2 linked regions of the Macaca mulatta genome follow. The protein of the gene in region 1 interacts with the protein of each later gene in a biochemical or structural test. Links are inferred from orthologs where the notes say so. Each region holds a gene or a part of one and is shown on either strand. Other genes may lie near its edges.

The links. The genes of interacting proteins can lie anywhere in the genome.
Region 2: the proteins of PLIN3 (region 1) and M6PR form a complex in vitro, tested with the Homo sapiens proteins (2 studies listed by BioGRID). The link is inferred for Macaca mulatta from reciprocal best matches to the Homo sapiens genes PLIN3 and M6PR.

What each region holds. Positions count from the first base shown.
Region 1 is NC_133424.1:5,694,680-5,698,324, forward strand, and holds part of PLIN3 (perilipin-3), read right to left. Parts: intron 1,059-3,645; exon of another isoform or gene 787-1,058; intron 666-786; coding exon 321-665; 3' UTR 1-320. UniProt on the Homo sapiens protein: Structural component of lipid droplets, which is required for the formation and maintenance of lipid storage droplets. Required for the transport of mannose 6-phosphate receptors (MPR) from endosomes to the trans-Golgi network.
Region 2 is NC_133416.1:11,649,610-11,653,796, forward strand, and holds the start of M6PR (cation-dependent mannose-6-phosphate receptor), read left to right. Parts: upstream 1-1,366; 5' UTR 1,367-1,808; coding exon 1,809-1,900; intron 1,901-4,187. UniProt on the Homo sapiens protein: Transport of phosphorylated lysosomal enzymes from the Golgi complex and the cell surface to lysosomes.

The sequences.
Region 1 (3,645 bases):
ACCCGGCCTATATTCCTGACTTTTAACAAGGAAAAAAAAAATTCTGTGGGGGAGAACTTTCCTGAAAAAATATTTTTCTGGACATCTCTCTCTACTGACTGATAGGGAGAGGCTCAGAACACGCTTCCTCCAAGCTCAGAGGGACTGAGAGATTGGTCAGCTGGGTGATGCCTCAGTTTTGAGACCCTTAGCTTCCCAAGCAGACAGCACAGAAGAGCTGGTGGAGTGGCCAGAAAATCGGTTTGAAAGGAGCCCTGGGTTGAAGACTCCAGAGCAGAGCTGCAGCATAGACGGGGCCCGCTGCGTCCTGTCCTCTCCCCCTACTTCTTCTCCTCTGGGGCTTTCTCAGTGATTCCGGGGGCAAAGGGTCCCACGAGCCACGTGACAGGTGTGTTCTGGGCCACGTATTCCACCATGTGGTCCAGAGCCTCGCGGGCGCTGGTGACGCGCTCTCGGCTCTGGGCCAGGATGCTGCTGGACAGGTCCTGGAAGGAGTGGATGCTGGAAAAGGTAGCTTGGAGGTCCTCCACCTGGCGGCGGGCCTGCTGTACCTGGTCCTTCACATTGGTGGGGAGGCCCTGAATGCTGGACCCCAGGGAGGTACAGGTGGCCTGCAGCTGCTGGGCAATGTCCCGGAACATGGTGAGCGCCCGGGACTCGACCTGCTGAGAAGGGAGGTAGGGACACCAATCAGGACCATTTGTTTCAGGAAAGGCAACCGGAGCTGAAGCCAGGGAAAGAGGGGTTCTACCACTAACCTTGGGGAAAACCCTTTCCATAGGTGAAATTTTTTTTTTTTTTTTTTTTTTTTTGAGACAGAGTCTCATCCTGTCGCCCAGGCTGGAGTGCAGTGGCGCGATCTCGGCTCACTGAAAGCTCCGCCTCCCGGGTTCACACCATTCTCCTGCCTCAGCCTCCTGAGTAGCTGGGACTACAGGTGCCCGCCACCACAGCCGGCTAATTTTTTGTATTTTAGTAGAGACGGGGTTTCACCATGTTAGCCAGGATGGTCTCCATCTCCTGACCTCGTGATCCACTCGCCTCGGCTTCCCAAAGTGCTGGGATTACAGGCGTGAGCCACCGAGCCCGGCTCTTTTTTTTTTCTTTTTTTTTTGAGATAAGAGCCTTGCTCTGTTGCCCAGGCTGGAATACAGTGGCATGATTTTGGCTCACTGCAACCTCCGCCTCCTGGGTTCAAGCGATTCTCTTGCCTCAGCCTCCCAAGTAGCTGGGACTACAGATGCATGCCACCACGCCCGGCTAAATTTTATTTTTAGTATAGATGGGGCTTCACCATGTTGGCCAGGCTGGTCTTGAACTCTTTACCTCAAGTGATCTGCTCTCCTCAGCCTCCCAAAGTGCTGAGATTACAGGCATGGGCCACCGCGCCCAGCCTCTTTTCTTTTAATTAGAAACAGGATAGGCCGGGCGCAGTGGCTCAAGCCTGTAATCCCAGCACTTTGGGAGGCCGAGACGGGCGGATCACGAGGTCAGGAGATCGAGACCATCCTGGCTAACCCGGTGAAACCCCGTCTCTACTAAAAAATACAAAAAAACTAGCCGGGCGAGGTGGCGGGCGCCTGTAGTCCCAGCTACTCGGGAGGCTGAGGCAGGAGAATGGCGTGAACCCGGGAGGCGGAGCTTGCAGTGAGCTGAGATCCGGCCACTGCACTCCAGCCTGGGCGACAGAGCGAGACTCCATCTCAAAAAAAAAAAAAAAAAAAGAAACAGGATCTCACCCTGTCGCCCAGGCTGGAATGCAGTGGTGTGATCATAGCCTACTGCAGCCTCTAATTTCTGAGCTCAAGTTATCCTCTCATTTCAGCCTCCTGAGTAGCTGGGACTACAGGCACTCACTACCATGCCCAGCTACATTTTTAAAATTTTCTGTAGAGCCAGGATCTCACTAAGTTGCCCAGATCTTAAACCCCTGGGCCCAAGTGATCTGCCCACTTCAGCCTCCCAAAATGGTGGATTTACAGGCATGAGCCATTGCATTCGGCCACTAGTCAAATTTAGAAGATATAGGGAGAGCACATGAAAAGCTGCTTGACATTGTAAGTCATTAAGGAAATGCAAATCAAAATCATAAGGAGCCCTGGCATGGTGGCTCATGCCTGTAATCCCAGCACTTTGGGAGGCTGAGGCGGGTGGATCACCCGAGGTCAGGAGTTCAGCCTGACCAACGTGGTGAAACCCTCATCTGTACTAAAGATACAGTTACTGTGGAAAACAGTCTAGCGGTTTCTCAAAATGTTAAACCATAGAATTATCACATGACTCAGCAATTCTAGTTGTGGGTGTATACACAAGAGAAACGGAAACACACGTCCACACACAGCGGCAAGGCAAAAAGTGGAAACAGGCCGGGCGCGGTGGCTCAAGCCTGTAATCCCAGCACTTTGGGAGGCCGAGACGGGCGGATCACGAGGTCAGGAATCAAGACCATCCTGGCTGACACGGTGAAACCCCGTCTCTACTTTAAAAATACAAAAAACTAGCTGGGCGAGGTGGCGGCGCCTGTAGTCCCAGCTACTCGGGAGGCTGAGGCGGGAGAATGGCGTAAACCCGGGAGGCGGAGCTTGCAGTGAGCTGAGATCCGGCCACTGCACTCCAGCCTGGGCGGCAGAGCGAGACTCCGTCTCAAAAAAAAAAAAAAATAAATAAATAAAAGTGGAAACAACTCAAGTGTCGTTCGGTTGATGAATGGGTGAAGAGAATGTGATCCACCCATACAACAGAATGCAACTCAACCACGGAAAGTCACAGGGATCTGACGCAGGCCACAGCGTGGATGAGCTCCAAGGACGTCACACTCAGTGTGAGAAGCCAGACACAAAAGGCCAAACAGGGTGGGATCCCATTTCTATGAAATGTCCAGGGCAGGCCCATCCACAGAGACAGGAGGGGATACGTGGTCGGGAAGAGGAGAAAATGGGGCAGTGATTGCTGATGGGAAAAGGGTTTCTTTTTAGGGGCATGAGATGAGATAGGGATAGTTGTGCAATGCTACCAGTGATGTGTATGCTTTTTTTTTTTTTTTGAGACGAAGTCTCGCTCTGTGGCCCAGGCTGGAGTGCAGTGGCGCGATCTCTGCTCACTGCAAGCTCCGCCTCCCGGGTTCACGTCATTCTCCTGCCTCAGCCTCCCGAGTAGCTGGGACTACAGGCGCCCGCCACCACGCCCGACTAATTTTTTGTATTTTTAGTAGAGACGGGGTTTCACTGTGTTAGCCAGGATGGTCTCGATCTCCTGACCTCATGATCCACCTGCCTCGGCCTCCCAAAGTGCTGGGATTACAGGCGTGAGCCACCGAGCCTGGCCGATGTGTATGCTTTAAATGCATGAGTTGTATGGTATGAAAATGATATCTCAATAAAACTGTTAAAAAAAAAAAAAAAAAGGCTGGGCGCGGTGGCTCACACCTGTAATCCCAGCACTTTGAGAGGCCAAGGTGGGCAGATCATGAGGTCAGGAGATTGAGACCATCCTGGCTAACATGGTGAAACTCCGTCTCTATTAAAAATACAAAAAAATTCGCCGGGCGTGGTGGCGGGCGCCTGTAGTCCCAGCTACTTGGGAGGCTGAGGCAGCAGAATGGTGTGAACCCAGGAGGCAGAGCTTGCAGTGAGCCGAGATCGTGCC
Region 2 (4,187 bases), on another chromosome or scaffold:
TTATTTTCAGAAAGAAAAAAATATTTCAATTTTATTTATTGGGGCAACATCCAACCCAGATATAATTACTACCTAGCCTGAACTGAATGTGTTACTAACAAACGAAGAAATGCAGAATGGCATACAGTAGGTACAGCGTAGTGCTTGAAAGCATTGATTATGGAGACTATTTAAATACTGGCTCGATAACTTAATAGCTGTGGGACCCACGGTGTTACTTAGCTTCTATCTGCTTTAATTTACTCATCTGTAAACTTGGGATAACATACTTCCTCATAAGGTTGGTGTGAAGACCAAGTGAATTAACTATCGCTTAAAGCACTTACAAAAGTGCCGTGCACCACCGAGATATGCATCCGTTCTCTTTTATTATTATTAGACTCAAAACACTGTAGTAGTTCTAATGAGAGGGGTAAGAATAAAAAATCCAGGCATCTGCGTAGAGCCACACATAAAAGCAACGTAAGAGTGGAAGCGGAATGAAAACATGCTAAAGCCAGCTACAAGCCACAAGCGGGGGTCCACAGGAAGAAATGGTTAATTCTGAAGAGAGTGAATGCAGGAAGTTACAGGAGAAATAACGTTTGAACAGAGTTTAAGAACGAGCAGGACTTCAACAAGTGGCTAGTAAGACACAAGGAACCTGCTAAAGATCTTAGCAAAGGCACAAAGATTACCATCGTGTTGCTCGTTTCTTCCTACTTTGCAGAAGTAACCTCTGGCGAACAGAGGTGGTTGCAGAGCATGCTTATCAAGTAAAATACCACGAGGCAGTAAGCAACGACAGAGGTAACAGTAACAATAATAATTCACCCCAAGGTACTCAACTGGGAAAAGGAAATACATAGGAGTGATGTCGTTAAGAAAGCCAGGACGCACATGGCCCCGTCGCTGCACTACTCTCGTCTAGGAGTCGACAGTGGAGTCTAGATTTGAAGTTTGCACGCGGCGGAACAGCGTCCCTCTCAGGCGGCGAACGGTCTAGGAAAGCGCTCGGAGGAGACCTAGCGTGAGAACTACAACTCCCGCCGAGCCCGAGGGCGAGCTGCCTGCGTAACTTCCGCTTCCGCCACCTGCCCCTCGCACTTTCTTCACTCGGACCCTACCCGGGAGCGGTCCGGCGCGTGACCCCGCGTGACCGGGGCGCGCAAGCCGAGAGGCCCTGGAAGCGGGACTTTGGGACCCCATTGGAAGAAAGGCAACCAGAAAAGGCGAAACTAGACAACCTCGATAGTGATTGGAGCTGATGGAACGAGGGCGGAGCTAAAATCCCAGGGAGACCGGGAAGGGGAAAGGGGCGAAATTGTTCTTTGGTCACATGCTGCGGGGTCTGGTGGGAGGAGCGGTTGCCCAGCGGCCTCTTGGCGCTTCCTGTTTCCGGTTCCCGGAGTGGGGCACATCCAGGCGCTAGGGGGAACGCTGGCCTCTGAAACTAGCTCTGGGACCGGGGTCTGCGGCCGGCCCCTAGCTGGCCCCGTCTCCCATCCCCAGACGGGTATTCACGGGGGATTCTGAGCTTTGGCTGCTCCAGTTCCCCGCGACACGTGAGTGTGAGGGGCGTGGAGGAGGAGGCGGGCTGGGGTGCGCTCACACTTAAGCGTCTATGACAGGAGCCGGGATCGCAATGGCTCCCTTGACCATGGTTCTAGCCAAAGATCTGGCTGAGGAGCCCTAAGAGTAGAATAGAGGCGGAGGCGTGGGGGCGGAGAGTCACGGAGTTCCGAAAGGTGTGAGGGAGAAAGGACTTCCAAAACCAGAGAGGGGATTTACGATACTTGGAAAGCAGGGAAAGGAAGATAACCCCAAGTATGGAGTCCGTTGGAGGTGTTCGTGGATTTATTTGTAGGAGGAATTTTGGCCTGCATCACGGTGGGAGGTCAAGTGGCATCATTTGGAGAAGGTATGGCTCCAAGCACTTGGAAAGTCGGGACACTGGACAGAGCGAGAATTTCTAGCACCCTGGGAGAGGTTTGAGGGGGATGCGACTGTGATATGGATAAGAATGGCTGATGGACGGATTATCATGTGTTCCTCGTGGGGAGCTTCCGCTCTTGGGACAAAGCCGCTACTTCTCTGAGGCTCCTTCTCTCTTGAGTTCTTTAAGCATTAGGCCTTTCAGCCAATTGGGGCTGCTTTTCTAAAACTGTAGGCTGCTGGAGAAAAAGGGATAAGGACTGCTACATCAGAAAGGAGCCAGCGGGAAGACAGTAGAAATTCCACTGGAAAAATGGCCATGGCTGTCTTACCAGATGGGGAAGTGAGTGCTACAGAGGCCCAGTGGTGTAAGCTGCTTCCCAATTGCTGGCTTAGTCATTGGCCACCCTAATAAAGGATAATTTTTAGCATTGCCAAATGGAATAGATGTGTCGTTAGAGAATAAGAAAATTGAAAGAGATTTTTCAAGATCATAAAATCCTGCTCCTTATTTCCAAAGTATATAGACAAACTCTTGTACCTTGAGAATCTAACTGTAGCATATTAAAAGGGGACTACCCAACCCTTCTATTTCGTTCTCTGCCTGATTGTTGCACTCCTATGTTTGTAAGTTTTCCAGCAGTTATCTTTATGCCACGAATCGTCTAAATTGCCCCAGTAACTTCACACACATAAAATATCTGTGTAATGTACAGCAAGTAATTTAATTCTGTAAAGCGTCAGTTTTCTCGTTTTAAAGTATGAAAAATTACACCTATTTTTCTGGGTTGTGAAGATTAATGAACATAATCTAGGTAAAACATTTAGCGCATTATGCCACTGAATCAAAGAGAAGCAGCTTAAATTTAAAGCCAAGCCTTAAGCAGGAAAGAAGAATACAGTATCAATTTATTACCCTAACTTTTTTAATAATAAGCAAATAAAAGATAGTTCAACTCAGCTAATGGCTGAGGTGTTTAACTTTTCATTCCTTCCTAATTTTGTGAGATTCCTTGTTCTAGTTTAGGAAAAGAAATCATCAACTGTCAGTTTTTAATTAGGTCCTGAGAGACTGACTGTAAAGGAAAATGGCAGGCTAAGTTAGTCTAGAAAAAGGAGCCTCCAATTTCTTTTTAGTGAGTCAGCTGGTCAAGTTGTGTGTTGAGCAGTGGGTTAACTTAGGGAAGGTGGTGGGAGTTGGAGGTCTAAGTTCTTTATTTCACCACCTATTCAGTCAACTGTGAGGAATCACTTCCCCTTCACTTCTTAGGAGGAAAAAAAAAGAACCCACAGTTTTGGTTGCCTACTCTCATCTCCAAAAAATTATTATGTGCATAGTGGAAATATACATGTAATGACAGACCATGAACTCTGGAGCCAGACTCTCTGGCTAATTCCACTAGCTGTGTCTCGGTTTTCTTATTGGTAAAATAGCAACAATAATTGTATTTACTCATAAGGTTGTGAGGATTAATTAGTTATTTAATATATGTTAAGTGCTTTGAACAGCACCTGGCCCAAGGCAGTAGTCTATTGTTGCCTGCTGTTGTGTGGTTTCAGTGCATTAAATGTGTTATAAGGGCCTTGGACCTCTTGGCTAGCTATGATTATTCTATGGCAACTACCATAATATTACAGTAGTGAATTGATGTTTGGGGTACAGGAAGTCAGGTAGACAATTTCCCGGAATTTGTTGCTTTAGTGGGATGTGGGAAATAGAAGGTCAGATGTTACTTTGTTTAGGGAAATGGGGAAAGTGCATTCAGGGTCAAGGTTGGAGCTTCCATTTTCCCATCTTCAAACTCATTAGTACCCATGAAAATTCTGCTTGTTTCAAGTTTTATATTTCAAAAATGCGGTGGAGTAAGTGGACCAGCATGAAAAAGAACTAGAGAACTTTAAAGAATATTCATACCAAAGCCCAGATTTGCAGCATTTTATTGTAAGTGAGAAAAGTTTAGAAGAGTTAAATCAGGAAACTGCCTGTGATACTGTTGGAATAAACAAGTAGCGATGGCCTGAGGGATCATTAACAGATATCAGAGTGAAGTGTTTTGCAAGGGTAAATCAGTCTGTACTGGATATGAGGATGGATTAGAGAAAACAAAATGTTAGGTTTTGGTGGGGTTTTTTTTTGCCAAAACCACAGTCACCTTTGCACCAACCTAGTAAGTTTGGGAAAGAGAGCTTGTGTTTTCATTCCTAGAGCAGTACAAGCAGCAGGTGAATTGAATTTACTCTATTGTAAAATGGCTTGGTGATTCCCAATTTGT